Linked DNA regions of Kluyveromyces lactis. The main gene of each other region encodes a partner of the protein of the gene in region 4 in a complex. Links are inferred from orthologs where the notes say so. Each region holds a gene or a part of one and is shown on either strand. Other genes may lie near its edges.

The links.
Region 1: RSC4 (region 4) and SFH1 share a complex: the UniProt entries of both Saccharomyces cerevisiae proteins name them as parts of the two forms of the RSC complex. The link is inferred for Kluyveromyces lactis from reciprocal best matches to the Saccharomyces cerevisiae genes RSC4 and SFH1.
Region 2: the proteins of RSC4 (region 4) and RSC58 are in contact, whole or in part, in a cryo-EM structure (PDB 6K15), measured with the Saccharomyces cerevisiae proteins. The link is inferred for Kluyveromyces lactis from reciprocal best matches to the Saccharomyces cerevisiae genes RSC4 and RSC58. Residues at the interface, in NP_012933.4 of Saccharomyces cerevisiae: Leu364, Tyr377, Leu379, Asn380, Asn382, Lys385, Ser429, Met430, Gln431, Lys432, Glu433, Met434, Gln435, Ser436, Leu437, Ser438, His441, Met443, Tyr445, Lys446, Asn478, Trp481, Glu483, Tyr484, Phe486, Asn494, Glu495, Asn496, Ala497, Phe498; in NP_013133.1 of Saccharomyces cerevisiae: Ala169, Thr170, Glu171, Leu172, Ile175, Ile176, Asp179, Phe180, Ile181, Lys182, Ile183, Ser184, Met185, Asn186, Tyr187, Thr188, Val189, Pro190, Ile191, Gln193, Gln196, Asp203, Phe205, Lys216, Arg217, Pro218, His219, Ile228, Asn229, Asn230.
Region 3: RSC4 (region 4) and RTT102 share a complex: the UniProt entries of both Saccharomyces cerevisiae proteins name them as parts of the two forms of the RSC complex. The link is inferred for Kluyveromyces lactis from reciprocal best matches to the Saccharomyces cerevisiae genes RSC4 and RTT102.
Region 5: RSC4 (region 4) and NPL6 share a complex: the UniProt entries of both Saccharomyces cerevisiae proteins name them as parts of the two forms of the RSC complex. The link is inferred for Kluyveromyces lactis from reciprocal best matches to the Saccharomyces cerevisiae genes RSC4 and NPL6.

The regions. Positions count from the first base shown.
Region 1 is NC_006039.1:1,628,977-1,632,240, forward strand, and holds SFH1 (Sfh1p), read right to left. Parts: upstream 1,830-3,264; coding exon 501-1,829; downstream 1-500. Other genes in the region: NKP2 (Nkp2p), read right to left, coding at 1-204; EFB1 (translation elongation factor 1 subunit beta), read left to right, coding at 2,552-2,631, 2,922-3,264. UniProt on the Saccharomyces cerevisiae protein: Component of the chromatin structure-remodeling complex (RSC), which is involved in transcription regulation and nucleosome positioning. RSC is responsible for the transfer of a histone octamer from a nucleosome core particle to naked DNA.
Region 2 is NC_006042.1:1,593,515-1,597,192, forward strand, and holds RSC58 (Rsc58p), read right to left. Parts: upstream 2,251-3,678; coding exon 2,195-2,250; intron 1,976-2,194; coding exon 523-1,975; downstream 1-522. Other genes in the region: putative divalent metal ion transporter SMF3, read left to right, coding at 1-194; ATP-dependent RNA helicase ECM16, read right to left, coding at 2,567-3,678. UniProt on the Saccharomyces cerevisiae protein: Component of the chromatin structure-remodeling complex (RSC), which is involved in transcription regulation and nucleosome positioning. RSC is responsible for the transfer of a histone octamer from a nucleosome core particle to naked DNA.
Region 3 is NC_006037.1:881,548-883,780, forward strand, and holds RTT102 (Rtt102p), read left to right. Parts: upstream 1-1,262; coding exon 1,263-1,724; downstream 1,725-2,233. Other genes in the region: TAF1 (histone acetyltransferase), read right to left, coding at 1-706; RNH70 (Rnh70p), read right to left, coding at 1,920-2,233. UniProt on the Saccharomyces cerevisiae protein: Probable component of the chromatin structure-remodeling complex (RSC) which is involved in transcription regulation and nucleosome positioning. RSC is responsible for the transfer of a histone octamer from a nucleosome core particle to naked DNA.
Region 4 is NC_006037.1:259,191-262,825, reverse strand, and holds RSC4 (Rsc4p), read right to left. Parts: upstream 2,200-3,635; coding exon 520-2,199; downstream 1-519. Other genes in the region: REC8 (Rec8p), read left to right, coding at 1-386; MEH1 (Meh1p), read right to left, coding at 2,530-2,961; mitochondrial 54S ribosomal protein mL50 MRPL13, read left to right, coding at 3,561-3,635. UniProt on the Saccharomyces cerevisiae protein: Component of the chromatin structure remodeling complex (RSC), which is involved in transcription regulation and nucleosome positioning. RSC is responsible for the transfer of a histone octamer from a nucleosome core particle to naked DNA.
Region 5 is NC_006042.1:1,271,994-1,275,042, reverse strand, and holds NPL6 (Npl6p), read left to right. Parts: upstream 1-1,283; coding exon 1,284-2,546; downstream 2,547-3,049. Other genes in the region: AIP1 (Aip1p), read left to right, coding at 1-933; m-AAA protease subunit YTA12, read left to right, coding at 2,965-3,049. UniProt on the Saccharomyces cerevisiae protein: Component of the chromatin structure remodeling complex (RSC), which is involved in transcription regulation and nucleosome positioning. RSC is responsible for the transfer of a histone octamer from a nucleosome core particle to naked DNA.

The DNA.
Region 1 (3,264 bases), on a different chromosome or scaffold from region 4:
CAAAGACAGCTTGTTGTCGATGAGTTTATCTATTTTTTCAATGATCCGTTGATCATTCTCTTCATAACTTTTGTATAACTGTGACGCGATCACAGTGTTGGATTCCGGTATCGTTCTAGAAAATAGATCAACAAACTGATCCTCAGTATACAAACGTGAGACTAAAATGCCGTCTAAATGCTTGTATAATACTTCGTGGAGCATAGTAATTGAAGTAATAAGGATTTCGGGTATGTACTTTTTATTATTCCCAGCGTACGCATTACTGATTCGCGATGATCTTTGATCTTTTTCTATTTGTTGTGGAGATTTTTGGCGACTAAATAAATAATAGTCTGACGAAAAGGAAGAGTATTTGTGCAAAACCACAGATGACGGTGGTATTAATACATTAATGATACATAAATCTCCACGAATAGATGGAGAACTTTATTTTCTATACAGCTTTGTCTAATGGGCGTCTGTGAAGTTAAACTGCTTGGCCGGAAAAGAGAACACACTTATATTCTCAAAGTAGTTTCCAAGTCATCCATTCTCCTCTTGCCTCTTCTTCTGGATCTTCCGTCATCGACCTTGGCACTTTCTCTCTTTAATCTTCTCATGTTTCTCTCCTTTTCAATTTCACGCTTTTCGATTTCCCATTGTGAGAGGACTTCTACCTTAGGGAACCATGAGGCGCCAAGTGTATCTATATCTAGACGGATACCTGATGTGTAACCGAAAGCTGCCTTATTTTCTACATGGGCCAAATTCAAATTACCTTCGAGCCAATCCTTCTTTACCTTTAGCAAGGATTCATGCAACGAATGTGCAATGGCAGGAACGAACTCTCTTTGCAAGCCCAGGTCCTGTACCACCAATTCTGCGAATTGTTCTGGGCATAATGAATCGTCATTAAGGTTCCATTCAAAAGTGTCATCATAAAGCTTGGAATCGAGATTTGCAGTCAAATTTATTATCACGTGTAAATCAGGAACCTGTAAAGATGCCAATGTTTCATATTCTTGTAATTGTTCGTTAATCATAGAGATAATCTGTGTATATGGGGAATTATTTGGGTTGGAAAGCACTGGGAAATCAAGATCCTGGCACAAGATCGTAGCAAACTGTTCTGGAGTCATCGAATGGTCGTTCAAATTCCACATGAAAAAATCTGCTAACTTGTGTCCACTGAATTCAACGTTTAACCGTATTGGAACCATTATCGGGCTTTCTATATCCACTTGCTGCGGATCCTGGATAGAATCTCCAAGAAGGTCTTTATAACTGATAGCGATCCTACTTTGCACGAAAGTTTCCCTAATCCTAGGATATTTCAACAAAGCTAGCGGAGTGGCAGAATCATCCTGACTTTCAAGGTCGGGCAAGTCGTTTAGTTTGATGCGATCCAATTCTGAGCTAGGATTTGACGTTCCTGCAGTACCATCGTTTGTACCGTCTGGCCCAGTATCTGCAGCCGGCGTTCCGCCAGTGACAGCACCGGGGTCACCAGACCCGGGCGTGCCCTCACCAATGCCACCATCTTCACCGAGTCCCGCCGCTGCGGCGGCGGTGGCGGCAGCAGCCGCAGCACCTCCATCACTACCGTCTACTTGATCATAGTAGTCCCCACCCCTACGACGACCATCCGAATCGTCCACATCATCCTCCAAATCATCCTCATCGTTCTTGTCGATGAATTCATCCAAGAGATCCGTATCGAACTCAGCGTAGTTCACCTGTTTACCCCTCTTGTTTCTCGATAACTGCGCAGCAGTAAACAACGGAACATCCTCGTTCTTCACTCTATTATGGAAGTTACTCAAGTAGGCTTGCGGTACGAGCGACATATCAATACAATTTTGGGAGGCAGGTCGTAGTTGCTTTGTCTGCTGTATATCAGCACGCTTCAATGAGTAAACCGTTTGTTTGTAGTAACACTATCATAGTCTTTATTCAACCAGCCCTAAAACACGAACTTGCACTTCTATTCTTGAATTGATGGATACTTTTTCATATTCGTATACAGTGATGAGTTGATTGAACAATCTAAGTGTTACCCTGAGTAAACATTTCACTTGTCAAAAGAAAAGGAATCCAGTTTGAAAAAAATGAAAAAAAGAACACTTTCTCAGAAAAATCCGTACCGTTTTGGAACCATTTACTATGGCAAAATCGTTTTTCAAAGGGGTGGACCCATGATTTTTGAAAATAAACTTGGTTTTTCTCAAATTGTCGCAGGGCACGCCGCAGCGTGCCCTGTTTTCTGCTGTTGCCTTTCCAGTATCTATCTCATCGCACTTACAAGGAAGAAAAAAAATTTTCTTCCACCGCACATTGCATGCACTTTGAATACACGTAGATGCCATAATTCCATAGTACATACGTCTTACATATCATATATCTCATAAATATATATATATATATATTGGAACTTTTCGAATTAGAGTTTTTCATCAGCTTTTCAGTATTTTTTTTTCGTCAATTTGATTCAACGTTCCTTGTAAGAAGAAGAAGAGGAATTGATTCTTTCCTAGTTTCTTCTCTCACCAGGTTTAACTATCCATTAACGATGTCTTTCTCTGATTTCTCCAAGGTCGAAACCTTGCAAAAGTTGAACACTTTCTTGGCTGACAAGTCTTACATTGAAGGGTATGTGAAATAATTATAGTGGTGGTTTTCCAATGGCATCAAGCAGTTTTTTGAATAAGAGAATTCTTCAAAGTTTACTATTTCAATGATGAACAAATTCTTTGGTCCGTGTTTATGACGGGAAGTAAGACCCCCGGTATGAGTGACAAAGAGACAGTACCTAGACAGTACGATTCTGATTTATCTTTTTTATTGAATTCTCTTTTCAGCAAGCAAGCTTAGCTGCCATACAAAAAAATTTCATTTTTTTGTTCTTTCCATTTTACTAACTAACAATTGCATCAATATAGTACCTCTGCTACTCAAGCTGACGTCTCTGCTTTCAAGGCTTTCCAATCTACTTACCCAGAATTCTCTAGATGGTTCAACCACATTGCTTCCAAGGCTGATCAATTCGAATCCTTGCCAGCTGCTACTTCTACACCAGCTGCTGCTGAAGAAGAAGATGACGATGACGAAGTCGATTTGTTCGGTTCTGACGATGATGTCGATGAAGAAGCTGAACAATTGAAGGCTAAGAGAATCGCTGAATACAACGAAAAGAAGGCTGCTAAGCCAAAGGCTGCTGCTAAGTCTATCGTTACCTTGGATGTTAAGCCATGGGATGACGAAACCGATTTGGAAGAATTGGTT
Region 2 (3,678 bases), on a different chromosome or scaffold from region 4:
TGGATGTGGATTCTGCACCCGCATCTGCAGACAGTACTGAAGAAAGTAGATTATTATCGAAAGGCGTTAAGTCCATTGACTACACCAATGGAAGACTGTTGAGCATCAGTTCATTTGTTATATGGTTGACAATTGGTTCATTGAATTGTTATCTTGTATTTTCATACCTCATGGGAGCGGACGTGCATTTTTAAGTCTAAGTAGGCATTTTATATAGTTTTGATGGATTCTGTTTAATCTATAATCAATTCGTAAATTGTACTTATTGGATCTGCTTTGTTGATCTCTTCTCTTGTACCTTTGTTGTGGTTAATTTCTTTGTTCTTTATATAATCTTTAATTGTTCTTGGACATTTACCTTCGAAAGTAATTGAGGAAGTAAAAAAATCGAAACACTGATGGTTTCAGAAAATAACTCCAAATAATAGTAACCGTTAGCTATCACTGATAATAAACTAGCCCCACAGATTATTGCACACTACCACAGCTGCGATTTATAGATTCTATACGGAAATATCTACTTCACTGCATAACTTTCTTACTTTTCTTTTTTCTAGTCGATATGGTCTTGACGACAGGAACTGATCCGGCATAATTAGTCTGAAGGACTGGGAAATGTTTCTCGTGCAATTTTGGAGATGTCACAATCTGTTTAGAAAGTAGAGCTTCTTTCAAGATGTTCTGTGCTCTATGATAAAGGGAAACTTCCTCACTTGTTGGTTTTGATATCTTGTTCAGCTTGACCCTTCTCGATTTACATGCCTTTAGCTTTAGCAATATCTCTGTCAATAACCTTTGCTGTTCACCTTGCTCAAAAGCCGTTATATCTTCATCATGTATCTCATGGCTAGGTTGCCAGTCATAAAGATTTTTCAAATTAATATTGACAGGTCCAGCTGGCTCCGTTGTCACTATTACTTCATCTCCCTCCTCATTTGTATCTTGCTCTTCATCCGTGGCAACATTCTGCTCTTCATCATTTTCATTTGATTCCTTTTTTTGGTTGTCAGATCCGATACTGTCATTTGCTTCCTCAACCTTTTGATCTTCAATACCCTCATCCTTTATTTTTTCATCTTCAACATTTTTATCTTCTGCTTCCGCAGCCCCTCTCTTCTTCGATTCTATTTCTAACCAGCTTTTGTATCCGACCTTTTCCAACCATATGTCTCCTTTACGGGAACAATCTGTTACAGACTTGAACTCCGAGATACTCGGAGCAAAAGATTGATAGTCGCCATACTCCAACCATTTAGTAGTGGGTAGCGGGTACCAATTCGGATGCAGAAAGGAGGTCATGATTTCTGTAGGAGAAATTGTTGGATCAGGAACATTGGAAGTGTTAGCTGCTACGAATCCCAATCTATTGGCTGGTTGGGATGTTGCTTGAGGAATAATTTTCACAATTTCACATTCCTCGTATGGTACTTCCTTTGGCCTCTGATCAAGTACTGACCTCGTTATCACCGAACTGAACAAATGTCCCTCCTTTGTCTGCGTATGGTAAGTTTCAGTAACGGGGAGCTGATAAACTTGACTAATTTTAAGGAAATCATTGGAAATGGTTTTTGAAAAATCACTTTCTTTGAAGTCAATGTCTGCCGCGAAGTCTCCCACCAGTTTGGCTCCAACTCTATAACATTCCCTTAGAATCAATTCTGCTGCAAATTTGTAGAATTTGTCGACCATTTGGTACGACCTCGTTCCTTGAGAGTAGTAGTGAATTAAAATGGAGCATACTAATTTAATATCATGGTAAATCCGATAAACAGAATCTTCATGCTTCTGGTAATCTCCACTAGCAAATTTATCAGATATGGAAATTGAATCAATATCTTCTGCTATTTTGATATCTGGATTTTCATCAAACTTGGCCCTTAGAAACTTCACGTAAGAATCGTATATGTGTGTTGGATCAGGCTCGTAGAATTCTTTAGGAAACCTTTCATCTAAAGCTCTGCATTTCGAAGATGCACTAATTAAATCAAAATAAAATTAATACTGTTAGTATTTGATTGTAAAATAAAATCATGCTTTGGCAAATCTAACACTGAAAACATAAAATAAAGACTTGAGGAACCCCAGGTCATCGTATGCTGGTCTTTAATTTATTATTATCACCGATTCTAGACAAAAACATGTGCGAATGCAACATAATTCGAATGAAAAATGTGTTGTTTTTATATTCACATACCCTTTTAAAACAGTTAGTAAGTTCTGAAAAAAATTCTCTTTTAGCAGCTCTACCATTGTTTACTTATTTTTAGCCCACTATAAAAGAGTTTGCAGACCTTGTACTCTCTCACTGCCCATCAGTTTGTCATTCAGCAGTAATGTAAGAAGCCTTTATTGATCAACCTGCGCCAAAACCTGTGTTTTCATTATGAAAAACATCAAAACCGTACATCATGATCCAACTGGCATCCATTGACAGCTTTTACAGAGATTCCTGTCACAGCAACAGTACCCAGTCATAGCCTAACAAGCTAGGTATTGGCCTTTAATTATTCCAATGCAATTGGTATTATATGAGTTAATTAATTCTATAAATTGTACTGGTGTAGTTCTAGGGTCTTTTCGAAGCTTGATAGTTTTTAAATGCTTTTGGAGTAAGGAATTTCTTGACCGTCCATACACCTTTCTCTTTCTCTTGATGAACAGGGATAGGATTGAGTTCCCAACCAATCTTGATGTCGCTATCATTGCAAGATCCAAATCTAGGAACAACATAGCAGAATCTTTCTGTTGGCGATAAATCAATAGGTTTCAAACCTTGTCCAGTGATTGGTTTTCCGTAAGTGAGTAACGAGCCCTTTCTTGCAACGTTAGCCAATGGCGTGCTTTTAATGTCACAAAGAGACTTCATCCTTGTTTTCGCCTTTTCATTATTTTTATTGACATGTAGTGATTGGAAAACCAAGTATTTCGGAGGTTGCTCGCCAGAATTGTTGAGAATTGAGGTTGGATGAATATAAACAAAGATATCATCCAAAGAAGATGTTTTCTCAGCAAGGACTGGAACATAAGGGATATTGAAAATGTTGGTTTTGTTGATAGTAACGTCTTCCGGGAATAACTGGTCTGCGCGAACGGCCACCTGGTCGATAAATCCTGCTGTGATCATTTGCTTGAGTAATTTGATTTGAACATCGGTGGGGATCGAGCTCTTCAAGTCTTCGTCTTTAACATTTACAGCTACATTTTCTCTCGAAGTAACTGACCTGATGATGAACATCACCTGCTTTCTCAACTTCATAATCTCCTCTACGGTTTTTGCCCTTAAGAAATTTTTTTCCATGAAAGAACTGTGCTGATCCTTTGGAATGAAATCCAACGCAGATACTGCACTTAAAAGACGGAAAACATCACTGAATTTATCAAGCTTACTAAATCTAATTTTGCTTTTAACATACTTGGAGCGCAATAGCCTTTTTCTTTCCTCAGCTTCGTGATCAGGATAGTCATCTAATTGTCCTTCATCTTGTGTCTTGGGCACAGTATCCATGATACCAAGCTCTTGTTCAGATAAAAACGGCTCACCTACTGAAAGGGCACTGACAATGGTAACAACATATTTCAAACAGTCGCTTTCATTACCAACAAGCAGCATTTTAGAAAATCTTGGACTTAGCGGAAACAAACTCATTGCTTTACCATCATCAGTGATTCTTTCATTAC
Region 3 (2,233 bases), about 620 kb from region 4:
TCTTGAACAATTTTTTTGTATCCTTTTGAACTTGAAACTTCACTTTAATGGGTATGAGAGGTTTTAAAATTCTGTTTCGAAGGTATAACTCCCTTTGCCATTGATACTTCGCCAACGGTTTTGGAGCTATCTTGGTCATTCTTAGGACTCTACCCGGCTTTAGCTCAGGGAAATAAGACTGAAATAATAACTGTTCTTCCTTCGCATTTTGTTCCTCTTGTTTCCTTCGCTGTTCCTCCATTAACCTCCTGTGTTGCTCATCATATTCGTTAAATTGGTGTTGTTCTGGACCAAATGACTGATATGTGCTCTCCATGAACAATGCATTATTACCTTGTACTTCAAATCCAGCAGCGTCAACTTCATGCATCACATCACCATGGTCCATCAGAGTCATATATTCGTCGTCTTCAGTCAGACTCCGCTGAAACGACCCTTCATTATGCCTGTTCGGAGAATGGGATGGCTCTTCTTCCTCCGGTAATTCTTCATCTGCCAATTCATCTTCATCTTCAAAATCAATAGCATTCGGCAGATGCTCTGTTTCATCTTGCTTACCATTGCCGCCACCACTAGTATAATTACTAATATCTAATGCCCCAAACTCACCACCAAATAGAGCGTTATACGCATCATCTTCATTGCTGAAATCCTTCTTTGCCTTGCCTTGTTTCTTGCTTCCTGAGCTTCCAGCAACCCTAGGCATTTCGCAAAAATGGGTGTATTATGACTGGAATCAGATTAGAATTCTGTTATTGACAGAAATATTGGCTCACAGAGTTGAATGAACCTATTTAACCACCCTTTTTATGACTTCGAGCACTCTTTACTGAAATGTACATATCAGCTCTTCAACTTTGTTTAGATTTTGATATTGAGGGATCAATCCAGAGACCGGGTAACGTAATTTCAGTGCAATCCATGTAACATAAACCACTATCATGGCCCAGATTGGCCACTTCACTCGAATTAACAAGGTTATATGCAATGTGTAGCATGCACTCATCTCATTTACTGGCTTTTCGTTTCAATAAGTGGTTCGCTGACCTATTAATCGACCATTTTATCCCATTTAAGGTCAATTTTTGTTGATAATTCTGCCAACATGAAATTAAAGCCAAACATCAAGAGCTTAAAGCTTAACAGTGCGAGCAGAGATCTAAAGGTACAATGCGACAATCTTTTAGGTGTTAGATCGACTAACTCGGCCAATTATTTCAGCAAATTTACACACTGAGCCATATACTTAACAGAAAGTGAGAATGTCTTTGATAAGTAGGGCAAATCGTCTTGGAGGTTTCACGACCGATGCAAAGCATTGGGAATACGAATGGTCCACTACTGCTAAACAAAATGAAAATGGTACTGATGAGAAGGTAAAATATAAGTTCAAGCAATGGGTAAAAAAAGATCATCCTTTGAGAGATGTAGTTGAGGATGATACAGATGTTCTTAACTTAGATGAATTTGATAGGACGAAGATAGCTAAGAAAAATGCTCGTGTCCAGGAGAAAAGTGGCCCAGATTCACTCTCAATTAACGATATAAGAGGAGCTGTTGGTGGTTCTGACATTCCTGGGTTCTCAGGATCGGATGCTAAGAAAGAAGCCGAGAGTGAAGCTGCTGTTGAAACTCCTGTGGTTGAAACTCCAGCGGAAGAAACTCCGGCTGAAGATACACCGGCAGAGGTAAAAGACCAAGAAGGCGACGTAAAGATGGAATGATTCATTATATAACGATTACACCTATATACTGTAATTTTACTACGATTCATGGAATCCAGAATGTGGCCTGGACGCCCACTCTCGAATAAGATAAAGACAGTCCTTCATCCAAAGGAGGGCAAGCAGGAAAAACCATCACCGCTTTTGTTCTCCACATAGGACGTATGTGTGCGTTTGAGACATTACTATATAAAACTATTGGCTTTCATTATTCACGTTGTTGGTTTTGATAGTCATAAATGAGATGGCATCGCGAGCGGTTTTAATCGAAGCCTGTATTTCTGCTTCACGTTTGGATTTTTCCACTGCACGGTCTTCCTTATCAAGTTTGTTCAACTCACTCATTATTTTGATCCATTCTCTTGTATCACCAGTACCTGAACAGATTAGTAGCATAGCTGATGAAGGTAGATTTTCATAGATCTTTGTAATTCTTTTCCCCATGTTTTCCAATGCTAGCTCCTCAGTTAGAACTTCAGTGTCACGGTTATTGCATGCGGCAAATTCAC
Region 4 (3,635 bases):
GAGACAGCGGTTCTGCGGACTACCTTTCAGGATCAGATTCAATTCCACAGACATTTAATGAAAATCAACAGCAGCTTATCGTGCATGATAAGCAGACAGAAAAATTCTTTCAATATATTGTTGAGAGAGGACAACACATAGGTAAAAGAACTGCCGCTTTCCCAGGTTATTCCAGAAAATTCCTTTTTGAAGATATTATCCCAAGTAAGTTAAGTCAGGAAGAAGATGAAGAGATTATACCTGTTACTAAAAGAATTGCCTGTAATGCCTTTTTGTCGCTTTTACAATTGGCTACTTCGAGCAAGTTGAAAATTGATCTTTATAATGTAGAGCCTGAAAAGGTGTTCAGGGTACTAAATGGAGATGATATCATTGTATATTGCTAACTGGATCGAGTGAGAGTGTTTTTTTTTTAATAACTGACGTTCGGTTCTCTTGAGAGTGATTCTTCTTTCAAGCCCCATTTTTTGAGTAAATTTATAGTCTTCATATATTACACTGGAGCTACATAATAGCTAACTAAGGTAATACACTAATCCAGAATTTGGCTGTTTCCAAACGGTCGTTCTCTGAATCTCTTACAGAGAAAGTAACAGTGTTCAGACCTTCTGCCAACTTGATATCGTATCTTGCTTTACTTTCGTCGAATTTATCCCCATCTAATACTGGTATTGGGTTTACTTTATCCTTGTTTGCTATCAAAACTGCAGGGCTATCTTCTGAAACAGGAGAGCTTAATTGTGAAACCACAGTAATTGAATTTTGTTTTGGTGGTAGTGTAATAGCATATTCGTGGCTGGTTTGGGTGAGGGCACCATCTGCGAATATGTATTCGAACCAAGTGATATTGTCGGAATTCTGATACAGTCCCTTCAGTGGTCGTATTGATTGTTCATAAAAACTTCTAGAAGAAGAAATCTGAATCTTTTCTATCACTTTATAAGGCACTGGCTCTGTCTTTGGTTCAATGTTGTGCTTTTTTATAACAGGAAGGATGTTAAATTTCAAGGGAAGTGGTTTATCTGGTTCATTGTTTTCAACTTTCGAGTCTGCAGTTTTACTTGTTTTTGATGGTCCCAAAAGGTAATCTCTAGACATTGGGCCTCGATTATATCCATTTCCTAGTCCCTCTATATAATTGTATTCTTCGTTAGTTTCATCATCATCAGAAAGAATTGGTTCTTCCTCTTCTTCTTCTTGTACGAACTGTTTATATTCAATTTTGTCGTATTCCAGCGTGATTTCTCCTTTTTCTCTAGCAGTTTCTAATTCAGGGAAGAACCTTCTTTGGATCAATACACTAAAACATTTCATCAGCTTCAATGCATCGCTATATATTGTAGTATCTTCGTCATTGAAAACCAATGCGTTTTGAAACGTCAAATTAACATCGGTAATGAAATCGTAGATTTTGTGATAGTATCCAAGTTCTAAGTTATTTTTCACCAAGTTCAATGAGTTAGGTAAACGAATCACTTCTTCATATTCTGGATACTCATCTTTATCTACCAATTCAAGGAACGGTTGGCATATGTTTAAAGTGTCATCCAAGTTGTTGTTAGAAGCCGCTTCTAATTTTACGTCATCATCTTCTGCTAAGATTTCTGCCATCTGTTTATCTGTTACATTGAGTAAAGTGTCAAAGATTGCTATGAAACGTGTCTTCACATCATCGTTAACCAAGAAATTTCTTGTAGCATTTTTTACTTTCAACACTTCATTTTTGATGAAATATACCACTTGTTTCGCATTTTTAACAATAAGAGAATCTGGATCGTTATATGCAAGACAGTTCTTGTAGATCAGTTCACAATCCAATAAGAACTTGGTTTCCCCACCACTATATTCGTAATCCCTGCTTTTAATTTCGTTAATAGAGATCGGTTGATCAATTTTGTAATAGTACTGTGGATGAAACTTCCTACTGGGTAGTTTGATAAAGTGTTTGAATAAAGCCTTGTGAGCTTCAACTAAATTATCCAAAGTAAATGCGATGAACAAATTCAACTTAGGAATAGTCCAATCTAGATCTACAATGAGCTCTTCTGTAGGATCCAAAGGGTGCACATAATCCACTTTGGGTAGAGCGCCGCTTCTAGGACGTTTTCCTGGTGTATATCTTGGTACATAATTCTGTTTTGAATGCTTTTGTTCGGGTTCCTCACTGGGATCTTCTGATCTGCTTCTTTTCACAGCCATAGTATTTGGCGCTTTCCAGTTTGTTTATGCTTTTTTTTTTGCCTCCTCGCTTCCTTGGCTTCTTAAATGAACAAATTTCAGTATATATGCAGCAGTCAAGGCACTTACTCTAACCGTACCTAATTGGCTCCTTTGACAAACCAAAATCGTATACTGCGTATTGTTTTATATGTCTATTCTACAAAGTTTGTATATTTCAATGTTTTCAATAAAGAGAGTGAAAGTACCTTTACAAGATTGAGAAATGTTCAGACGTATATAGTGATATATCGCATTTCAACATTTGGTGAACCCATTTTGAGTGCGCTAATAGTGCAGAAACCTATTGCGTCACGATTCGATATTGGCGACCAATGGCTTGTTATATTCCACGGTAAGGTTTTTCACTAGGTTAGCGAAGTACTTTTTGTGAAATTCTTGAATCGCCTTCCTTGTGTCCTGTTTTATTTTCGAACTGGGAAGTACCGTTAAGGGTACGTCATGTAAAATTTCTCTTTGATCTTGCACATAGCTCGAACCTAAATCGTGTGAGGATGCTACGATACCGCTGTTGCTGATCATACCTATATCTATAAGCTTATCGTTCGTATTATTCACGATTTCGGTCAATTCAAGTTCTCTTGCAAGCACTCTTTCCTTCTGTCGTTGTTCCATTTCGTTATAATCTAATTGGGCTTGTGAGCCGTACCTGTCCTGTTCCTGCAATAACGGGTCATTTTCGTCGCTATCTTGACGAAAGCAGCAACTTAGCACATTTCCCATAATATTTTAAATGTTTTAGGCAGATTTTCGGTAGCTACTGATGCTAGAATTCGTTAGTAAACGTAAACTATCTCATTGCCTTGGTGGCTTTAAGGTAAAGGAACTACACTTACTATAGATGTTGATAAAAAGCACTGGGAAGCATAAATTTCATATTCTAGTATGTGGGTTGTGGGTGTTTTGAATAGGGTAACCCCGTCTTCTTTATCTATCGGGCTACATAGATAAGCAGCTTTTAGTTACTGAATACAGTGAACATCATGCAAACCAGGAAGTACGCACTTAACTCGACCCGTTGTTAAAGACCACTATGATGCAACTATCTATCGCTTCAGATCCTGTTTCTTTCTCTCTTTAGAACCTTCCCATATGGACTACATTCTTTCTATGCCCAATTGAAAAATTGAAAAATTTCATCTAAAAACTATAAACTTACAATTTGATGAAGATATTGTATATTAGAACATTAATTGAACGGTCAAGTTCTTGATGAGCTTAAGCACAGAAGTATCTTCTAGTGTTGTCTGATTTGGCGGTTGATATCAGTTCATTAAAGCGTGGTACTGTGCATATTTTTCAATCGAAAACAAAAAAGAATAATGATGCTAGCGTCTAGGTACGTGCCAGTAGTGCGTTCATCAAGACAATTCACTTCAAGTGCAGTGCGCTCTGAT
Region 5 (3,049 bases), on a different chromosome or scaffold from region 4:
ATCGTAACATTGACGCTTGATGGGACCTTGAGCATTTTGTCTCTAAATGATCATACCATCAAATTCATTCATGGTCACAACAAGGGGATTACTTCTTTGGCGGTAAACCCATTAGTGTCTGGGTCATACGATGGTAGAGTTGTTACCTGGAATTCAGAAGGTGACGAAGTCAATGCTATTAGCCATGATATTCATGGTAATCTCGTATTGGCCATCGATAACTCTGATAACGAGGTATCGAGTGTTTCTTGGGACGAAACGTTGAAGAATTTCATCGATGGTGAAAAAGCGCTTGCTGAAACGAAGTACCAATTCTCAGAGCAACCTAAATGTGCGGTTTTCTCTCATAACACTTTGGCTGTTGCTACAAACACTAACGAATTGTTGATCATCGATAACAAGAGTGGGCTATTATCGAAATCGATAACTCTAGATAAACCTGTCGGGGCCCTCGCATTGGGAACTACTTTCGTGGCAGTGGCATACGAACAAACCAACTCCGTGCAGCTATTCAAAATTTCTGACCTATCAGATGCATTCACGTTGGCCACTCCATTACGTGCCACTCCATCTGCTCTTTCCTTCTCTCCATCACAAAAGTACTTGGCTGCCGGTGACGTGTCCGGTAAGATTATCCTATATGATCTTGACACGAAGGACGTCAAGACCTCGAGATGGTCATTCCACACAAGCAGAATTACATCCATTGACTGGAGACCTTCTGCAAATGATGATGATTTGGAGGAAGATTATGTTGTCACTGGCTCTCTGGACACCAACATCTTCATCTACTCTGTTAACAAACCTATGAAAGTGATAAAAAGATTAAACGCACAAAAGGACGGTGTGTCCAGTGTACTATGGGAAAACGATTCCACTATCGTCAGCGCCGGTGTGGACGCCTGTATCAAGAGGTGGACCGTCGAGTTTTGAATGAGACACATTTTTTACCAGTAACACATAAAAGTATTTAACAGTTAGTTAACGTACGAAATATAAGACAATGAATAACAATAGGAGGATCAGATGTTGCATCAAGGCCCCCCCCCCCAGAAATATCTAGAGCTTCTAGTAAAGCCGTTGAAGTTGTTCTTTCTTCTTTATCATCTCATACGTTTTGATGTTTCTCTTGAACATTGAACAGATTCCTGCCTCTCAAAGCTTATATATAAACAAACAAGATCAACAAAGCTCGGTTGAAAGCGGATATACGCATAACATTCCTTAGTAATTCTGTATTTGGAATCACCAATCAAGAAGCTTGAGTTTCTCCTATATCAGATATGGCAGCAGCAGGAAGAGGCAGGAAGAGCTCGAGGGTTTCTCGCTCAGCTAACAAAGCAACCAGCTATAAAATCGATACAGACGAGTTAGACATTGAAGATGATGAAAAGGATCAAGAGTACCCTGGACCAGCCAATGATGATGATTACGATGATGACCCAGATGCTGATATCGAAAACGAGGGTAAACCATCTCGTTCCAAGCGCAAGGCCGCTTCGAGCACACCTGTTCCAGTGGTACTAGCGACAAGAGGAAGGCCTTCAAAGAGGAAAAGAGAAGAAGATTTGAACGATCCCTTAAGACAGAAACTACCGTACCCAGTGGACGAAAACGGGTCTCCATACCCAATTGTGAATGACGAGTATTCATTACCTGAGGATCCAGAGGGTGAAACCAAGATCACCAAGAATGGTGATCTTCTAGAGGGAAGACAATTTGTAGTCAGAACTTTCACGGTACCTTCCAGAGGTGAAGTTAAATACATGCTTTCTACTGAGCCAGCCCGTGCCGTTGGGTTCAGAGACTCATACTTGTTCTTCCAGTACCATCCAAACCTATACAAATTGATTATCTCGCAATCAGAGAGAGACGATCTCATCAAAAATGGTGTATTGCCCTATTCGTACAGAAACAGAATCATTGCGCTAGTTACTGCAAGGAGTGTGTTCCGAGAATTCGGAGCCAAGGTTGTTGTAGATGGTAAAAACATCACGGATGATTATTACGCCGGTAAGCTTCGTGCATCCGGGAAGGTGAAAGAGGGTACCCCAGCAAGAGAAACATCACACACAAGTGTCACTGGAAGAAATACCCTTGGAATAGACATTCCGCAACAATTATCCGTCAACCCATCCAAAAATGCAGTAGAATTCTTTGACAAGAGAAATCACAACATCCCGGCAACAAGCAATATCTCATCTACGAACTGGCTCTATCATCATGCTGCTGCATGCAGTAGATTCAACAGTGATCTTTTCTACGATAGAGAACGCATTCTTCTCATCGAAAACCTCGGACTAAGAGATACGTACACGAACGTCTTACATATACCACAATCCACACAATCGACGAGAGTGATATCAGTGAAGAAAGTGAAAGGAAACACAAGCCAAGTTATGTACGAAACAAGAATCAAAGCTCTTGACCTAGCAAGACCTTGCACCGGTCTTTCTGACGTCCCTACATCGATGTACGAAGACATCTTGGACGAAGATATAGTCGCTGCTATAGAAGAACAAAAGAGATTCGAAACAAGCCTATAACATAGCTGAACTGACCTCCCATGTATACGTGTATATCTCAACATACGTAATAAGAGTGTATTATACTAAGTGGCCGGGTAACGATATGTCCTTGCTCTACCAAAAATGAATTTGGGCTTTTCAACCAGAACAACCCCATAAGGTGAACAGACAAGGCCATTTGCCACCGATAAAAGGAGCGTTAGCAGTTACATTTGCAATCTACAGTGGTTGCATTGTGAATTTAAGACCCTATAGTAGTGTAAAATAGCCAGGTGTTTGTTGAAACGGCTGTTTTTGTCTCGGTTTGTTTCGGTGTTAACAAAGATTTTCCACTGGTTTTAAATTCGAAAAGTCCTGTTAGGTAAACGGTATAGCAATCAGACTCGGCTAACCGTAGCAGCGACGTGGTGGTTTTATTACATTGAAGTGACTTGCAATGTTCCATTTAATAAGGCCGGTATCTAGGCTTGGCGTAAAGTCTGTGGCCAGTAGGGCGTTGTACAAAGTTCCAAAGGGGCGTT